Saccharomyces cerevisiae S288C: one gene and its partners. Changing the gene in region 1 together with any one later gene gives a genetic interaction. Each region holds a gene or a part of one and is shown on either strand. Other genes may lie near its edges.

Evidence for each region. Genes that interact genetically often act in the same process or in processes that back each other up.
Region 2: mutations in SLX4 (region 1) and RMI1 are lethal when combined (synthetic lethality), as found in Saccharomyces cerevisiae (5 studies listed by BioGRID, with this or other methods).
Region 3: of SLX4 (region 1) and DOT1, a mutation in one rescues a mutant of the other (synthetic rescue), as found in Saccharomyces cerevisiae (5 studies listed by BioGRID, with this or other methods).

Annotation. Positions count from the first base shown.
Region 1 is NC_001144.5:410,263-417,256, reverse strand, and holds SLX4 (Slx4p), read right to left. Parts: upstream 3,977-6,994; coding exon 1,730-3,976; downstream 1-1,729. Other genes in the region: RKM5 (S-adenosylmethionine-dependent methyltransferase), read right to left, coding at 1-251; TIS11 (Tis11p), read left to right, coding at 599-1,456; PDC5 (indolepyruvate decarboxylase 5), read right to left, coding at 4,843-6,534. UniProt on the Saccharomyces cerevisiae protein: Regulatory subunit that interacts with and increases the activity of different structure-specific endonucleases. Has several distinct roles in protecting genome stability by resolving diverse forms of deleterious DNA structures.
Region 2 is NC_001148.4:501,782-505,890, forward strand, and holds RMI1 (Rmi1p), read left to right. Parts: upstream 1-1,735; coding exon 1,736-2,461; downstream 2,462-4,109. Other genes in the region: putative serine/threonine protein kinase SKS1, read right to left, coding at 1-402; methylenetetrahydrofolate reductase (NAD(P)H) MET12, read right to left, coding at 2,558-4,109. UniProt on the Saccharomyces cerevisiae protein: Structure-specific DNA-binding protein with a preference for cruciform structures. Also binds single-stranded DNA (ssDNA). Functions together with SGS1 and TOP3 to maintain genome integrity. Essential for proper meiotic cell division.
Region 3 is NC_001136.10:1,340,803-1,345,889, forward strand, and holds DOT1 (histone methyltransferase DOT1), read left to right. Parts: upstream 1-1,690; coding exon 1,691-3,439; downstream 3,440-5,087. Other genes in the region: adenine phosphoribosyltransferase APT2, read right to left, coding at 3,715-4,260; SSN2 (Ssn2p), read right to left, coding at 4,874-5,087. UniProt on the Saccharomyces cerevisiae protein: Histone methyltransferase that specifically trimethylates histone H3 to form H3K79me3.

The DNA.
Region 1 (6,994 bases):
TGATAGCTATCCACAGCAACATTCTGATCTTCTTCAACACTACTAGCCTTATTTCTTCTTCTCACTCGCTTTTTTTTTCTGCCGCCTTCCAGCCCAGAGGGTTCAAACGTTATCTCTAGCACACCGCCCCTTCTATCCTGAATACCCAAATCCTGCGCCAGTTTCCCGGACTGGCCCTCCAATTGTGTGTACCGTTCGAACACGTGCTCGTATATTGTTTCCTCATCCAGTAGCCATAACTTGAATGCCATTCTGCCTAGCCCATTTGCGTCTTCGCTGCCGTAACCATTCTCTCTTCTTGACAGCACTGCCTTGGTCAGTTCTCTATATTTGTCGCGCCGCCGCAAAATGCACCCACATTAAAGAAGACGACGCCAATCGACACCCTAATTTGGAGGTGTAGATGCACAATGGCACATGCAGTTGGGTGCATTGTGCCAGCAATCTCGTCTCGATTTCTCTACATGTAACTTGTATATATATTTGAGAGAAGACATAATCGTTGGTGGGACTTGGAGGCTCTTGGTAGGTCGTATTTGTGCATCTTGAGAGAAAGCGAAACAGTGCTGCAAACTCAATACGTAAAAAATAACGCAATATGTGGGCTCAATTATCATATACTAGACCAGAATCTCAGAAGACTGACTTAACGTCGTTGTTTTCCACAGATCAAGAGCAAAATCCATTAAATGACTACCAGTACCAGATCAATATTAGGGAACTGGAGGAGTATTACAACAAGACGATTTTAAACGAGGATAACATACAGGAAACAAGCAGTGAAATATCTTCGGCAGTTTCATTCTCTCCACCAAAAAATACAAACGCTATTCAACCGGGGCTACTGTATGATCCACAGTTAATGAACCCTTTTCTCCCATCCGCTCACCTGAATAGCACGGCACCTACTACTTTTAAAAAGAAACTAGAGGTACAAATAAATCCGGACTATGTCCCAAAATCTTCACAATTACCATTAACTTCACAGAATTTGCAACAGTTGTCTCAACAAAAGCCCAAAAATGATGCTTCTTTTTCATCAGAGAAGGAATCCTCAGCTCAACCTAAGGTGAAAAGCCAAGTGCAGGAAACTCCCAAACAATTATACAAGACAGAGCTGTGCGAATCATTCACTTTAAAAGGAAGTTGCCCTTATGGCAGTAAGTGTCAGTTTGCTCACGGACTCGGCGAATTAAAGGTTAAGAAATCGTGCAAGAATTTCAGGACGAAGCCCTGTGTGAATTGGGAGAAACTAGGTTATTGTCCTTATGGCAGAAGATGCTGCTTCAAACATGGCGACGACAACGACATTGCTGTTTACGTGAAAGCTGGTACTTACTGTAACGTCTCTTCGACTAGCAAACAATCAGACGAAAAGAGAAGCAATGGTCGCGGCTCCGCCAAGAAGAAGAATCTAAATGTTAAAGTAAAGGCTTTGCAGAGAATGACCTGGTGAAACAATTCCTGGCCTGGCGAAGACCGGCGTCTCAACTAAACTCAATTATTTATTATTTTTTTCTCCATGTTATGCTTTTTTTTTTTCTGCTTTTTTTTTTTTATTCTCATTTTCATGTTTGCGATATTGGTAACTCTAAAAAAAAAAAACTTTTATTTAAGTTAAGCTACTTCATGACGGTATATATGCATATTTGTGTACGTGTATTCTTCATCTATACGTAACGTTTGTTTTGTTTTGTTTTTGTTTTGTCAAATTCTCAATCATTCGGCACTACTTTTTATCGTTTCTCAGACATATTCCTTGAACATCGGCCCATTCTCTGATGGTCATTTCGTCGATTTGCGAAACAAATGGCTCGGCGCTGAACAGCTTTTCAATTAGCTCATTTAGCGGAATGGGTTCAAAGGTATATATTCGCTCCAAAAAATCAGGGAAGGCTTCAATTAGTTCGGTTAAATGATCAAATATTTCTATCTTACTGAAATTTGCCACCCCACCATGCTCACCTTTATTATCTGGATTAGCTGTGGACAGAATTTGAGATGCAGTTTGTAAGGATTGAATGATTTCAACCTTCGTCCTCATAGGTTTCAACCCCACTGTTTTCAAGCTTTGTCGAAGCTCTTTCATTGATTGGGACATCATGATCTCACAAAATTTCTCGGGAGAAGCTATGGAACTAGCTGCAGAGGTATCAATAATGTCGTTGCTAGTAGTAGGATTTTGTGTAGAATCTTTAGTCGAAATTTTGGAGGAATCTACCAATTGGATATCAGCAATGCAGAATTGGTCATCAAATTCTGTCTCCTCTTCTTCAGAATCATTTGCCTCAACTCTATAAAAGTTATGTTTCACCAGTTTGGGGTTTAGCTTAACTACGCTTTCTTGCAATAATTTAACTCTGATGGAACTTCCTATGTTATTCTTTTCTTCTTCAGTTTTTAAAGTTGTAGTAAGGTTCTTTTGAGGAATAATTGTAGGGGTTCTTGTAGCTGGTACCTGAACCTGATTTGATGCTTGTGATGTTACCCCTGTTTTGTTGTTTTCTACTTTCAAAGGTGATATTAACGATCGAACAGCTTTGAATGATTCCTGTGTTAAATCGATTATCCCATCCAAAGGCGATGTGTTTGGAGTGAAAAACTGTGTGCTGCCTATCGTGTCGGTGGCTAATGGTGGTCTTTCATCATTTTCAATGAAAACATACCGATACTGGTCTAGTGGAAACAATGTGGATGTCTCATCTGTAGTATCTGAGACAATAGAAATATTGTCATAATCATTATCCGTACTGTTTTCGCATCTTCTACTTACCTCAACAGACATAGGTTTGCAAGCTTTATAATCTGTCAGTGAAAATGCATTTATACGTGTTCCCACAGCCAGTTCAATATCTTCACCAACAACATTTCCTACCGGTTGTTGTGGCTCTAACCCGTTTCCATATTCTTGAGAGCTTGTAGAATCTCCCCGTGAAATAATTATGCTTTCTTCGTCTTTCATAATTTCACTTTTGTCATCCATTACTTGAGACAACGATAAGAAATTTACTGCACTTTGGGTATCGCGTATCCTTTCTTCCTGCTCTGGTTGAATAGCCTCATCGGGAAGCTCGGGTGGTAATTGTGATGCTGTCCAAAGTCTTTGTTGTGAGGATTCTTGATTGTCTAGAGAATTCGAGCTTTTTTCGCTTCCATATAAAAATTTCTGGACTTCATTCAAATCCGTTTCCTCACTTTGCGGAAACTTTTGTAGAAGAAGTTTCATAATATCTTTCCACTCCTGTTCACTATATGTATCAAAAGTAGCTTTTTCACCCTTGTTATTCCTTGCTCTGGGAGGTTTATCACTGTTTCCTTCATTTTGCGTCTTTATTATGTCCAAAACCTTCTTGTGCTTACCTGATAATTGCTTTAATAAGCTGGCAGTCCTTGAACGTTCGTAGTTATTAATATTGAAATCAGTTATATTTTTGATAATTTTAGGGTCTCGTTTAGTTTTAGGTTTTGTTTTGAGTTTCGAATTAGCCTTCCTTATTGCTGGTCTTCTTTTAGCTGTTACATTTGCATTGCTGTGGGTATCATCTGCGTTACTACTCTTGAACGAATACTTGAATTTTTCAAGTTTTAACTTAAGATTTGTTTCTTCCTCTGCGTCATCAAGTCGGCTTTGAATTTGAGTGTTAATGAATATGTTCTCCTCGATATTTGATCCGCCTAAATCGGGATGGGAAGTGCTGACTGGGTTACAACTTTTATCAACATCTTTATTTCTTTCTGTATCGTTTTTCGTAGTCTCTTGCGTCATAGGCGATTTTTGTGCAGTTACGCTTTTTACTTGCGTACCTATTGAATCATCATCAGATGATAAGGAAAACTGCATTTCCGGTACTTGAGTTTCCATTCCTAAAGAGTAAGCATTCTGGCTCTCTCCATTCAGGTTAGTTTGATCGGTAACGTTCACATAATCCTCGTTTTGTAAAAACTTCAAATTCCGTTGTGCCCTCTGAAGTTCCATTATTAAGTTCCCCAACTGAACTACTGGTTATTATTATGGAACAGAGATAGATAATATCTCTCTTGCTTGTTCGGAGTTCCATTCATCTCTATATTTTTAGTATGCAGCTTTCGCGTTATAAATTAAACAAAAAACCACTAAGTGACAAAGAACTACGCATATTAATAGTATACAACAAAAACAAAGGAAAAAAAGAAATGAAATCAATTGGCGAAGCAGAACAAGTTTTCTTTTCCCTACAATGATTGTAAATTCATATATGGTGCTCTACTGGTGATTTTTCATCGAACAAAAACCCGTTTTTAGGAAGGACAGAGGTCCATATCAATATAATTAAGAAGGCATGTTGGCCTCTGTTTCTTAATATATTCTAAATAAGATGTAAGGCCTTGTAATTCAGTTTGTTCACAAAATTAAAAACTGTTTAATGTTTTTTGTTTTGTTGTAGTATTCGAGCATTAAGGATAAAAAAAGCTTGTGAATAAAAATCTTTCGCTAAAAATCAATATAAGAAAATGGTAAGCAGCTGAAAGATAATAAGGTATGGTTAAAGATCACACCACCCTCTTCAATTAGCTAAGATCATAGCTAAAGGTACAAAACCGAATACGAAAGTAAATAAATTAATCAGCATAAAATTAAATAATAAACCACCTAAAATATTAGAAGCTAATCTTTAACCTGGAAGACAGGACAGAAAAGTAATTACAAGAACATATGTGAAAAAAAATAGTTGATATTTTAAACCAAATCAGAAATTTATTATACTAAAACTATATCTATGCCAATTATTTACCTAAACATCTATAACCTTCAAAAGTAAAAAAATACACAAACGTTGAATCATGAGTTTTATGTTAATTAGCTTATTGTTTAGCGTTAGTAGCGGCAGTCAATTGAGCTTGTTTAACCAAGTTTTGTGGAGCATCAAAGACTGGCAACATAACTTCAATCATTCTAATCTTAGAGTTGTCTTGGAAGTCCTTGTCTTGAGTCAACTTTTCCCATTCACCAGTGGTAGCAACTCTGTGGGTTTCGTAGTTTCTAGCACCAAAAGTTGGCAATAAGGCCAAGTGGTCCCAACCTTGAATTTCATTATATTCGGCATGAGGACCGTGAATCAATTTTTCAATGGTGTAACCGTTGTTATTCAAGACAAAAATGTATGGCTTCAAACCCCATCTAATCATGGTAGAGATTTCTTGAACAGTCAATTGTAGAGAACCGTCACCAATGAATAAAATAACTCTCTTCTTTGGATCAAGTTCTTCAGCGGCCATAGTAGCACCCAATAGAGCGCCGACTGTGAAACCAATGGAACCCCACAAGACTTGGACGATAGCGTATACATCTGTTGGGAAAGTAGTTTGGTTAATACCGAAGGCGGAAGTACCGGTTTCAGCAATAACAATATCACCTTCTCTCAAGAAGTTACCCAAATGGTTCCACATCCATTCTTGCTTCATTGGAGTGTTAGCTGGAGTAGACTTGGTAATTGGAACTCTAGCTGGGACAGCAACAGGTTTGTAGTCCTTGACGACTTCTGGAATAGCATCCAACAATTTTTGCAAGGCAAATTTCATTTGAACACCTGGGAAGGTGGCGTTTCTGATCTTGATGTGGTCAGAGTGGAATTCAACGATATTTTTGGTCTTGTAGGAGTAAGAGAAAGAACCGGTATTGAAATCAGACAACAAAGCACCGATAGACAATATCAAATCAGCAGATTCTACAGCCTTCTTAACTTCTGGTCTAGACAAGGTACCAACGTAAACACCACCGTATCTTGGGTGTTGTTCGTCAATAGCACCCTTACCCATTGGGGTGACGTAAACTGGGAATTGAGTCAAGTCCATCAACTTCTTAGTTTCAGCCTTGACATCATGTCTAGAAGCACAAGCATCAGCCAAGATAACTGGGTTCTTAGCATCCTTGATCAATTCAACAACAGTTCTAACAACTTCAGCTTCAGCTTCAGCGTCGTTTGGCTTCAAAGACAAGTCAATTGGAGTTTCCAATAACTTGGCTGGGACGTTCAAGTCAACCAAGTTAGCTGGCAAACCCAAGTAGACTGGTCTTTGGGTAGTGTAGGTGGTTCTGATACATCTGTCAATTTCAGCTGGAGCGTTAGCAATATCAGTGATCATGGCAGTGGTTTCAGAAATGTTGGCAGACATTCTGTGGAAAACAGTGAAGTCACCGTTACCCAAGGTATGATGCAACAACAATTGCTTAGCTTGAGAAGAGATGGATGGAACACCAACAACGTGCAAAACACCGACATGTTCAGCGTAAGAACCGGCAATACCATTCAAAGCAGACAATTCACCAACACCGAAGGTGGTAATAATACAGGACATACCCTTGATACGAGCGTAACCATCAGCAGCATAGGCAGCGTTCAATTCGTTAGCGTTACCAGCCCATCTCATACCTTTGACTTCATAAAGCTTATCCAAAAGAGACAAGTTAAAGTCACCTGGCAAACCGAAGACGGTGTTACAGTTGACTTGGCTCAATCTTTCAAATAAATATTTACCTAAGGTTATTTCAGACATTTTGTTCTTCTTGTTATTGTATTGTGTTGTTCTCTTTGAGATTGATTATGTGAAATAAGTGTAATAAGAAAGAGAGGAAAGGACTTACTACAGTATATTGATCGAGAATGGCAGCTCTTATATACAAGTTCTTTTAGCAAGCGCCGCTGCATTATTCAAGTCTCATCATATGAAATTTCTTTCGAGAGATTGTCATAATCAAAAAATTGCATAATGCATTTCTTGCAACACATTTTCTGATATAATCTTACCTTAATGCAGGTTTACGTATTAGTTTTTCTAAAAGAAACGCGACCTTTGGATATGGAGGCTTTTCCCATAAACGCATGTAGTATGCATTTACGATGAGAATCAATTTTTTTCCAAGGGGCGCAAAACGCATAAACGCATAAAGTATGCATCAGAAGGATTCTCACCTGGTTGCAACCATACAGGTGTTAGCGACAGTAATAGAAAAAAA
Region 2 (4,109 bases), on another chromosome or scaffold:
GGCAATAGAAGATTCTAAAACTTGGTGAATCTTCACGATATTGCCGTGAGACTGCACTCTTAGTTGGAAGGCAATCTCCCTGTAGTGTGGTAGCCTATTTAGTTCATTCTCAGTCAACTGTAATATCGAGTCTAGATCAACGGAAGGTAAGAACAATTTTTTTTGGAAACTTTTGAAAAAATGATACAGTTGCGTTTGCAGAAGAGTGGTTCGCGCCACTTGAGAGTTGTTGTTCAAACCGTTCTTATTATAAAACTCATCCATCGAGGAGGATTTGAAGACCGTTTTCACTGCATATTCACGGCTCGTCAGTATATCCACCACATGGAACACTAGTCCATACGCACCCGACCCTATTTGAGCCGTTATTCTGAAATTGTTCAGCAAGCAGTCTGACAGCATTTGTACACAAAATTTCTTGTCTGTGTTCTTATTTGATGTTTTCTTTTAAAGAGTTTTGTTTCCGCTAGGGCGATTTAAGTCAATAAGTAAATTTAACAATTTACTAAATATATTTTGTATAATATATAAGAATATACGCCTTAAGAATGTCCTCTCATGCGAAAAAGGTAGCAAGAGCATAAAAAGGAAAAAGAAAACGCTATAGTCATTTGTAGGCTCTTGTCTTTCTTCGTCTTCGTCCCGTGAGTGCGGACTCAGAAAACACCGCAATGATGTGGGTCCGGAATATCTATTGCACAGTTTTAGTAGGGTCACCGATATCGTTAAGGTTTGTGGTAGGAACAGAAGGTACTGCCGGCCCTGTATACTGCCCTTTTGTTCCGACCATTTCTTTTTTGCATTTGTCCCAAGATTCTCTCTCCCCACAAAATCTGCTCAAGTATCTGTCCAACGCGCTTTCTTCGGCTGATAGATAAGTTCCGATTTCGTGGGAAGCAAAAAAAAAAAAAAAAAGAAAAAAAGAGTCTGTCCGAGAAATGTCCCGGAAAACGTGGGTGTGCGGTGAGGAGATTGTACTTCCATCCCACATTCCTCGTGTTTGATTGGCTGCAAGCCACTTGATGCCTAGAAAAGAAACACCGCGTGGTGCATCTATGTCCATATCACGCGCGCTAAAACAGCATGTAGAGAGCGCGAGGGCGGCGTACTGCACCATTCTAATAGGAAATCCGGGATGAATGCCCTCTCCGGAAATACCTCCACTAAGCCTCAATGGAAAGTTGTTCCGCTCACGCGAACAGGTTTTTCCGGGGAGTCGAGAACTACAGTGACGTAAATACGACGACATCGCTAGAGCCAGCAGAAGCCTCCATACATTCAGACTAATTAGTTGACGGGCTTGAGCCAACTAGACATATTATGTAGGCACATATGCTCCAACCAATACATATGTGTACATAGAGTACAGCTCTTCCCAGCGCATCCGCTATCGTCCTCTTGACAGGTCCGGCTATTTATTATCCGCGGCATCCGCGGCCCAGCGCACAATAATAGATTACTTTGCAATGCAAGCGGTCTTGGCTGTTTGCTCTGAGGGTCCATCTTCGTTTATTTCTTTATTTACTAAATTAATTATGATACTGCACTCAGGACGGGCCAAGAAAGCATGTAGCGTGAAGAGAAACTAATTATTAAGAAAAAAGAAAAAAAAAAAAAAAAAAAAAAAGAAAAGGAAAAAGGAAAAAGATAAACCAATCATACAATCTTTACAGAAAGGGAGTACTGAGAAGAAGGCCAAAATACTGCAGAGCATACATACTACCGAGTGGATGGAATGTCTTTTTCATCTATCTTATCACAGGATATCACAGATGACATTACACCACCAGCGTATTCCGCCACCTTGGGGTCGAGAGAACAGATTGTTTTCAGAGCTTACCAAAATGAACCTTGGTTGGCTGGTACTGCTTCGAATCTTATCTTAGATAAAAAACTTGTTATTGTAGACAGAGAACTGTTGTTCCAGGTGTTGATGGTAGAGAATATCACCAAATCCAAGCTAACACAGATCGATGATATAAAAACCAAGCTGGATCCGAAAAAACAGAAAGTGGATAGACTACGATCAGGCGCGCAAGGAAATGGCGCTAAGAAGTACGAGGTCATCACTCAAGTGGACATGGAAGATGACGGGAATGTGGCGGATAACAACTGCGCCAAGGAAAATAATAGCAACAATAATAGCAGTGCCGCCAAGAATAAAGCAGTGTTTAAATTGACACTACAAAGTAAGTCGGGCGACGTTTTTTTTGCTATCAACTCGACTCCAATATCTTGGAGCTCTTGCATGCTGGGTTCTAAAATTGTGATACTGCCGGGAACTGTGTTCAATAGGGGCGTTTTCATATTGAAGGACTCACAAGTCATTTTTCTCGGCGGCATTAATAGAGTTTGGAATGAAAATAGAGATCAGAAATTTTGTGATTATTTGGAATCTAAATTACAACGTGACAAACAACTTGTAAATGGCGGCTCCAAGAAAAGGAAAGCCAATGATTAGCATATGCCTCTTCTTCTTAGAAGGGCGTTCTGCCCGTTATGTATACGTTAAATATTACATTATTTTCGCATTTTTGTATTTATATTCAGTGAAATATTAGGCTTGGTCGAGTAACATTTCCCATAGCTCGTCGGTTTCTTTGAAGTCGTGATGAACAATTGAGACAAGACAGTAGTCTTTATGCACTAGTCTTAGAAGAATATTGGCTGGGGTGTTCCTTGGAAATAACTTGGCCCACTCGGACCAGATACTAAACGCTTCATCTCTCCATGCCTTGAATGACTCTTCTTCAATGATTGTAGTCTGTTTGACCGGACTGTTGGGAAAAACACCCCATGTTACAACGCTAGAGCTGTGCGGGTCTAGGTTCGTTTCAAATGAACCAGATGAATCGCCCGCGTAATAACTGAATTTCCGACGCCCGTAATGGTCTAGCTTGGGTTTCAAAGTTGTTTCCCATTGCTGTCTATGAATAAACATTTCTACGAATGCCTTCTGATACAACCTCCCTTTCGCGGGCCCCCAGCCGAATATTTTATCACTACTCAATGTAGCATTTGTGGCAGGTTGCGATGCCAAAGTCAAATATCCGCGATAGTTTAGTTGGATTAGTTCTTCTTGTATTAACGCCGTTTCAGCTGATAAACCCAGGTCAGACCAGGGAATCGCATCCGTTGAACCTTCCAAATATTTTATAAAAATATCTTTTAAATCGCCAATTGTCTTTGGTATACCCCATAGTTCAAGCGCTTTGCTTTTGCTTACCTTGATGGATGGCCCATAACCGTCTATTTCACCATATGCGGGAGACCTGGAGTCACCAAATCTACCATTGGGGAACTCATCCCAAGTGGCATCACGACCCAAAGTTCCGTGACCTTTAGAAATAGATATTAAAGCCTTTTTAGATGGCATGGAACCATTCTCATTATTATAGCGTAAGCCTTTTTCAGTGACGATAGCCCTATTGAAAATCAACTTGGCCGAATCAAGACTTGAATGCCTTCTCCTTTTCCGGTTTGCTACAGTTTCTTCATTCGAATCATCCAACACAATATCCCCGTCAGCATCTTCTATTGGCACATTTTCTATGCTTCCTATTTCGCCACTGGTTTCATCTTCTCCCTCTTCTTCGCTAGATTCATTTACGATATGGGATAAGACGGGAGATTGCGAGACAATTTGAGCAATAGCCTTTTCCAAATTTAATGTATAGAAATGAAACCCTTTAATTCTACCAGATGTTCTTTGATATATTTCCTGAATCAATTCGATAAGAATGTCCACACCAATGGACTTCACGGCATTATCATCCGATTGGATTTCTGGGGGGAACCTACTCAGTATTGCAGGTGGAATAGATGCATGTGATAACTTTGCTGCTCTGTGGAAAAGCAGATAGGAGTTAATAGGCATCAACCCAGGGAAAAGGGGCAAATCTTGCGAAATCCGTTCCCGAAATAGCATTTCAAAAGTTAAGAATTTTTCAACGTCGTAAAACAGTTGTGTTATCACAAAATCGGCCCCAGCTTCAACTTTTTCTTTTAAATATACCAAATCCTTCAATGGGTCTTGCTCGTGACCTTCTGCTTCACCTTCACAATGACCTTCTGGATATGCTGCAACACCGACGCAGAACTTGTCTCCG
Region 3 (5,087 bases), on another chromosome or scaffold:
AATACTGCCTCAGGCCGCTCAGCTTATATTTTCAAGTCTCTCCATTTGGCTGTTTGAGGTACCCAATTGTTGTATTCTTGATACGGCTGTTTCAACTATTCACATAATAAGTGTAGTCTAGTCTCTTCGATGAGCCTTTTATGCACCAAGGGAAATTAAATGAATTTCTACCAAACCTTATTCATTTTGAATTATGTAGCTCTGACATTTTGTTGTTTTCCTTGCGTGCCCAATGTTGCCAGCGTAAAAGTTATCGTAAACGTTATCGTAAACGTTATCCCCGTTTTGTAAACTTTATTGTCTTCGTAAAAAATAGAAACCAACACTTAAAATTGGTCCCATAAAAAATTGAGTCAGTTCCTTCATCGTGGTACAGTCAGAGTATTCTAAATTAATTAATTTACTGATAATTTAATAACATGAAGAAGAAAGATTGGATATTGAAGTTATCCACCAGGCACATATAACGCTCTAAATAATATTTGGATGTTGCACTAAAGTCCACGATGAAGAATAAAAAGCATCACTTGATCGTTCAATGAGCCAATCTTGGAAATTTTGACACCTCTATTAACCAGAACATCCAGCTTGTTGAGAACTGTTGGGATAATTCAGAAATGTAACTTTGAAACTCAAATAACTCAAGGAACGGGAGTCTTTCAAGATTTTGGAATAATTTGACCACTTTGTTTTTAAACAATTCGAGTGAAGGCCATGCGCTTCTTGTAAGCTTTGTTAATGAATCTATCTTTTAGTTAAAAACATTTCTTTCTTTATCCAATTGAATTATGCCATTCGATATTAAATACGACAACAGGAACACTGAAGAACGGGATACTCCCCCCCCCCCTTGTGAATGTGCTACAATAAACAGAATATCGCCACCCGGTCACTTCTTCTCTCCAATTCTTACTAAATTAGCGATAAATTCTACCCTTTCCATAACTGGCCGTTCTTCTGCAAGAGAATTTTTCCTACTTGAATAGGCATACTTGAATCTGAAAAGTAGTCATAGATAGTGAAGTCTGCTTTATTAATAAAATTCCAGGATGTACTCTTGGAGATCGAATCAAGTTCCTAGAAATCCTTTGAGAAAGAAGCGGTGAATACCCGTAGGTAGGATTTTTTCACGTAATTAAACCGCCTTATCTTATTTGTTGCCAGAAAACTAGAGGATGGAATAAACATATTCCCTAATGGTGTGGCATTTACCTGTCTGTCTAGTTTCTGTTAGTGCATTCCAATGTCAGCTGCTTCGCTACATTGTTTCCAATGAAAGCTTGTATTTTCAGAGTCGAAAGCGTCGTCGCCTCTTTTTATGGATGAAAGAGCTCTGGCATGAATTTTCTCTGTAGTGAAAAAATGTTACGGCTAAAGACCGTAGAGTGACTTTCTTTGTTTTTCTGTTCTTGAATTTAGACACTTACTTCACAATAGTATAACAAGCCAGAAACTAAGTAATGATTTACGTGCCATTTTTTTTAGCAATATATGCATAATCCTGCTGACGCCTTCGCACGCGTCAATGAAAAGGGACATTGAAAAATCGACCGGTAAGTGCTTTCAATGAGATAAACATAATTCGAATATAGGGCATCTCGTCGTCTTAATTGCCTTGAAAAATAACTGAGGTCCTCATCAAGGAGGTCACCAGTAATTGTGCGCTTTGGTTACATTTTGTTGTACAGTAATGGGCGGTCAAGAAAGTATATCAAATAATAACTCAGACTCATTCATTATGTCGTCCCCCAACTTAGACTCTCAGGAATCTTCAATATCACCTATTGATGAGAAGAAAGGCACCGATATGCAAACCAAGTCGCTTTCAAGCTATTCTAAAGGTACGCTTCTCTCTAAGCAAGTACAAAATTTATTAGAAGAAGCTAATAAATACGATCCAATATATGGGTCATCTTTACCTCGAGGATTTTTAAGAGATAGAAACACCAAGGGTAAGGATAATGGGTTGGTTCCGCTGGTGGAGAAGGTTATACCTCCCATTCACAAGAAAACCAATAATAGAAACACAAGGAAGAAGTCATCTACCACCACGAAGAAGGATGTAAAGAAGCCAAAAGCTGCAAAAGTAAAAGGAAAAAATGGCAGGACTAACCATAAACATACCCCAATTTCAAAGCAAGAAATAGATACTGCACGAGAAAAAAAGCCATTGAAAAAAGGTCGGGCAAACAAGAAGAATGATCGCGATAGTCCTTCATCAACATTTGTTGATTGGAATGGCCCGTGTCTACGGTTACAATATCCATTATTTGACATAGAGTACTTAAGATCACATGAAATATATTCTGGAACTCCTATACAATCCATTAGTTTAAGAACAAATTCTCCACAGCCAACGAGCTTGACATCAGATAACGACACTTCCTCAGTAACGACAGCAAAGTTGCAGAGTATTTTATTTTCAAATTATATGGAAGAGTACAAAGTCGACTTCAAAAGGTCAACAGCCATTTATAATCCAATGAGTGAAATTGGTAAATTAATTGAATACAGCTGCCTGGTCTTTTTACCTTCACCTTATGCTGAACAATTGAAGGAAACTATACTACCGGACCTAAATGCATCATTTGATAACTCTGACACGAAAGGTTTCGTGAATGCTATAAATTTATACAACAAAATGATTCGTGAAATTCCTAGGCAAAGAATAATTGACCATTTAGAAACAATTGATAAAATTCCTCGTTCATTCATTCATGACTTCTTGCATATCGTCTATACCAGGAGTATCCATCCGCAGGCGAATAAATTGAAACATTACAAAGCATTCAGCAATTATGTTTATGGAGAACTTTTGCCCAATTTCCTATCTGATGTATATCAACAATGCCAGTTGAAGAAGGGTGACACTTTCATGGATCTCGGTTCGGGAGTAGGTAATTGCGTAGTACAAGCTGCGTTGGAATGTGGATGTGCATTAAGCTTCGGATGTGAAATCATGGATGATGCTAGCGATTTAACTATACTGCAGTACGAGGAACTAAAGAAGAGGTGTAAGTTATATGGGATGCGTTTGAACAACGTGGAGTTTTCATTGAAGAAAAGCTTTGTGGACAATAACAGGGTCGCTGAACTAATTCCTCAGTGCGATGTTATCCTCGTAAATAATTTTTTATTTGATGAAGATTTGAATAAAAAAGTCGAAAAGATACTACAAACGGCAAAAGTTGGATGTAAGATCATAAGTTTGAAAAGTTTAAGAAGCCTCACTTATCAGATCAACTTCTACAATGTTGAGAACATCTTCAATAGATTAAAGGTGCAAAGGTATGATCTTAAGGAGGATAGTGTTTCATGGACGCATAGTGGCGGAGAGTATTATATATCAACAGTGATGGAGGATGTGGACGAAAGTTTATTCAGCCCTGCTGCAAGAGGTAGGAGGAACAGAGGTACGCCGGTGAAGTATACCAGATGAGGCACTTTGAACGGCTTTTAACGATGAGTATGAATAACTAAGTAGAAATAACATGTACACAAGTGTAACTTATAAAAATCAAAAAATAAAAAAATAGAAAGGGAGAGAATAAGAGTAGGTAATAATATGAATTAAAAGAAGGATAAGGCGCCGTGGACCAGGTACCTAAAAAGTAAAGTACCAGTTTATATTAACAAAAGAAGTTCAAGCTAAAAAGTAGCAATATGCGAAGGAAAGGAAAATAATTGAAGGAGGAGGCAGAGAACAAATTTAAATCAGGAGTGCAATATGGAAAAAATAGGAGCAGATAATTTCTCCTCACCATGTAGACTATCTAACACTAGCACAAAGTCATATTCCAGAATATGAGCACCCACTTGTCTGATAAGGTCGCCCGCAGCATATGCCGTTCCACCGGTGGCGAGAACATCATCCACGACAACCACGTTGGAATCAAAGGGAATGGCTTCAACCTGCATTTCAAAAATTTCTTCATGGTCTAATTTTGTGAATGTTATAGAAGCACACTCACCCGGCAATTTTCCAACTCTCCTTATTGGAACAAATCCAACTCCCAATGCCAGTGCTAGGGATGGCCCAAATAGAAGGCCTCTAGCTTCTATACCTGCAATAAAGTCGATCTTTTCTTTGCCGAACTTTTCTTCTAAATGCGTCTTGAACGTGTGTACCAACTTTTGGAATAGCGTGGGGTTGCCAATAATAGGTAAAAAATCCTCAAATTGCTCACCCTCTATGGGAAAGTCAGTGAACTGCCTAAATGCAGTTTTTATTTCCTTTGCGTAAGATTCAGAAATAGACATAATGAGAGGCGGACAGGCAATGAACAGGCATATACACACGCACTCTCTTTTTTTAAGGAGCGAAAATTATCTGAACGATTGGTATGAACGGGTGCAAAATTTACTTTAACACCCAAAAAGTATATGCGTATATATATATATTTATCCTTGTTATTTTTGTAAATTGAGCTATGCAACATAAGATTCCTGCGATGTAAGAACTACTTGCTAATCAAGAGAACTTCAACAATTTTCCATCGCAGAGACGAAAAAACTGGAAAAAAATAAAAAGAAAAAATTGAAAAAGAATCGCGACTTCCGATTACATAACCTTATACGGAGTATGATACCATTCTTGACATCATCAACACACCATCGCAGACCCACGTGGCCGCTTCGTGTGCCTTGAAAATACAGCCTTAAACGCAATCTCATTCGCGTTCTGTGGAAATTGTCTCGGACTACACGCTGGGCGTGCATCACCAGTGAAAATGCCGTACCGCCCCGCTTCCGGTTTTGTTTTTATAAATCCGACTGGAGAAATAGACTTCTGGGTTTACACCCCGGAATAATACTAAAACCAAAACTGGTAAATAGGGCTACAGATGAGCAGGAAAACGTTGCCGGAAAAAGTTTATTTATCCGAGAGAATAATTGATGAAGAAGTAGCGGTATGCACAGTAGCGGCGGAAGTATTAGCAATTTTTACTCTGGTGTGCACAAGAGTGTTCATCATTTTTTTCACGGCTAGGATATGCCATGGAATATGGCCATCTTCGCCATCAGAGAGACCGTACCACACGTTTAGAGCAGCCAGGTTGCGAAACTCTTCTAAGATGGTTTCCAGC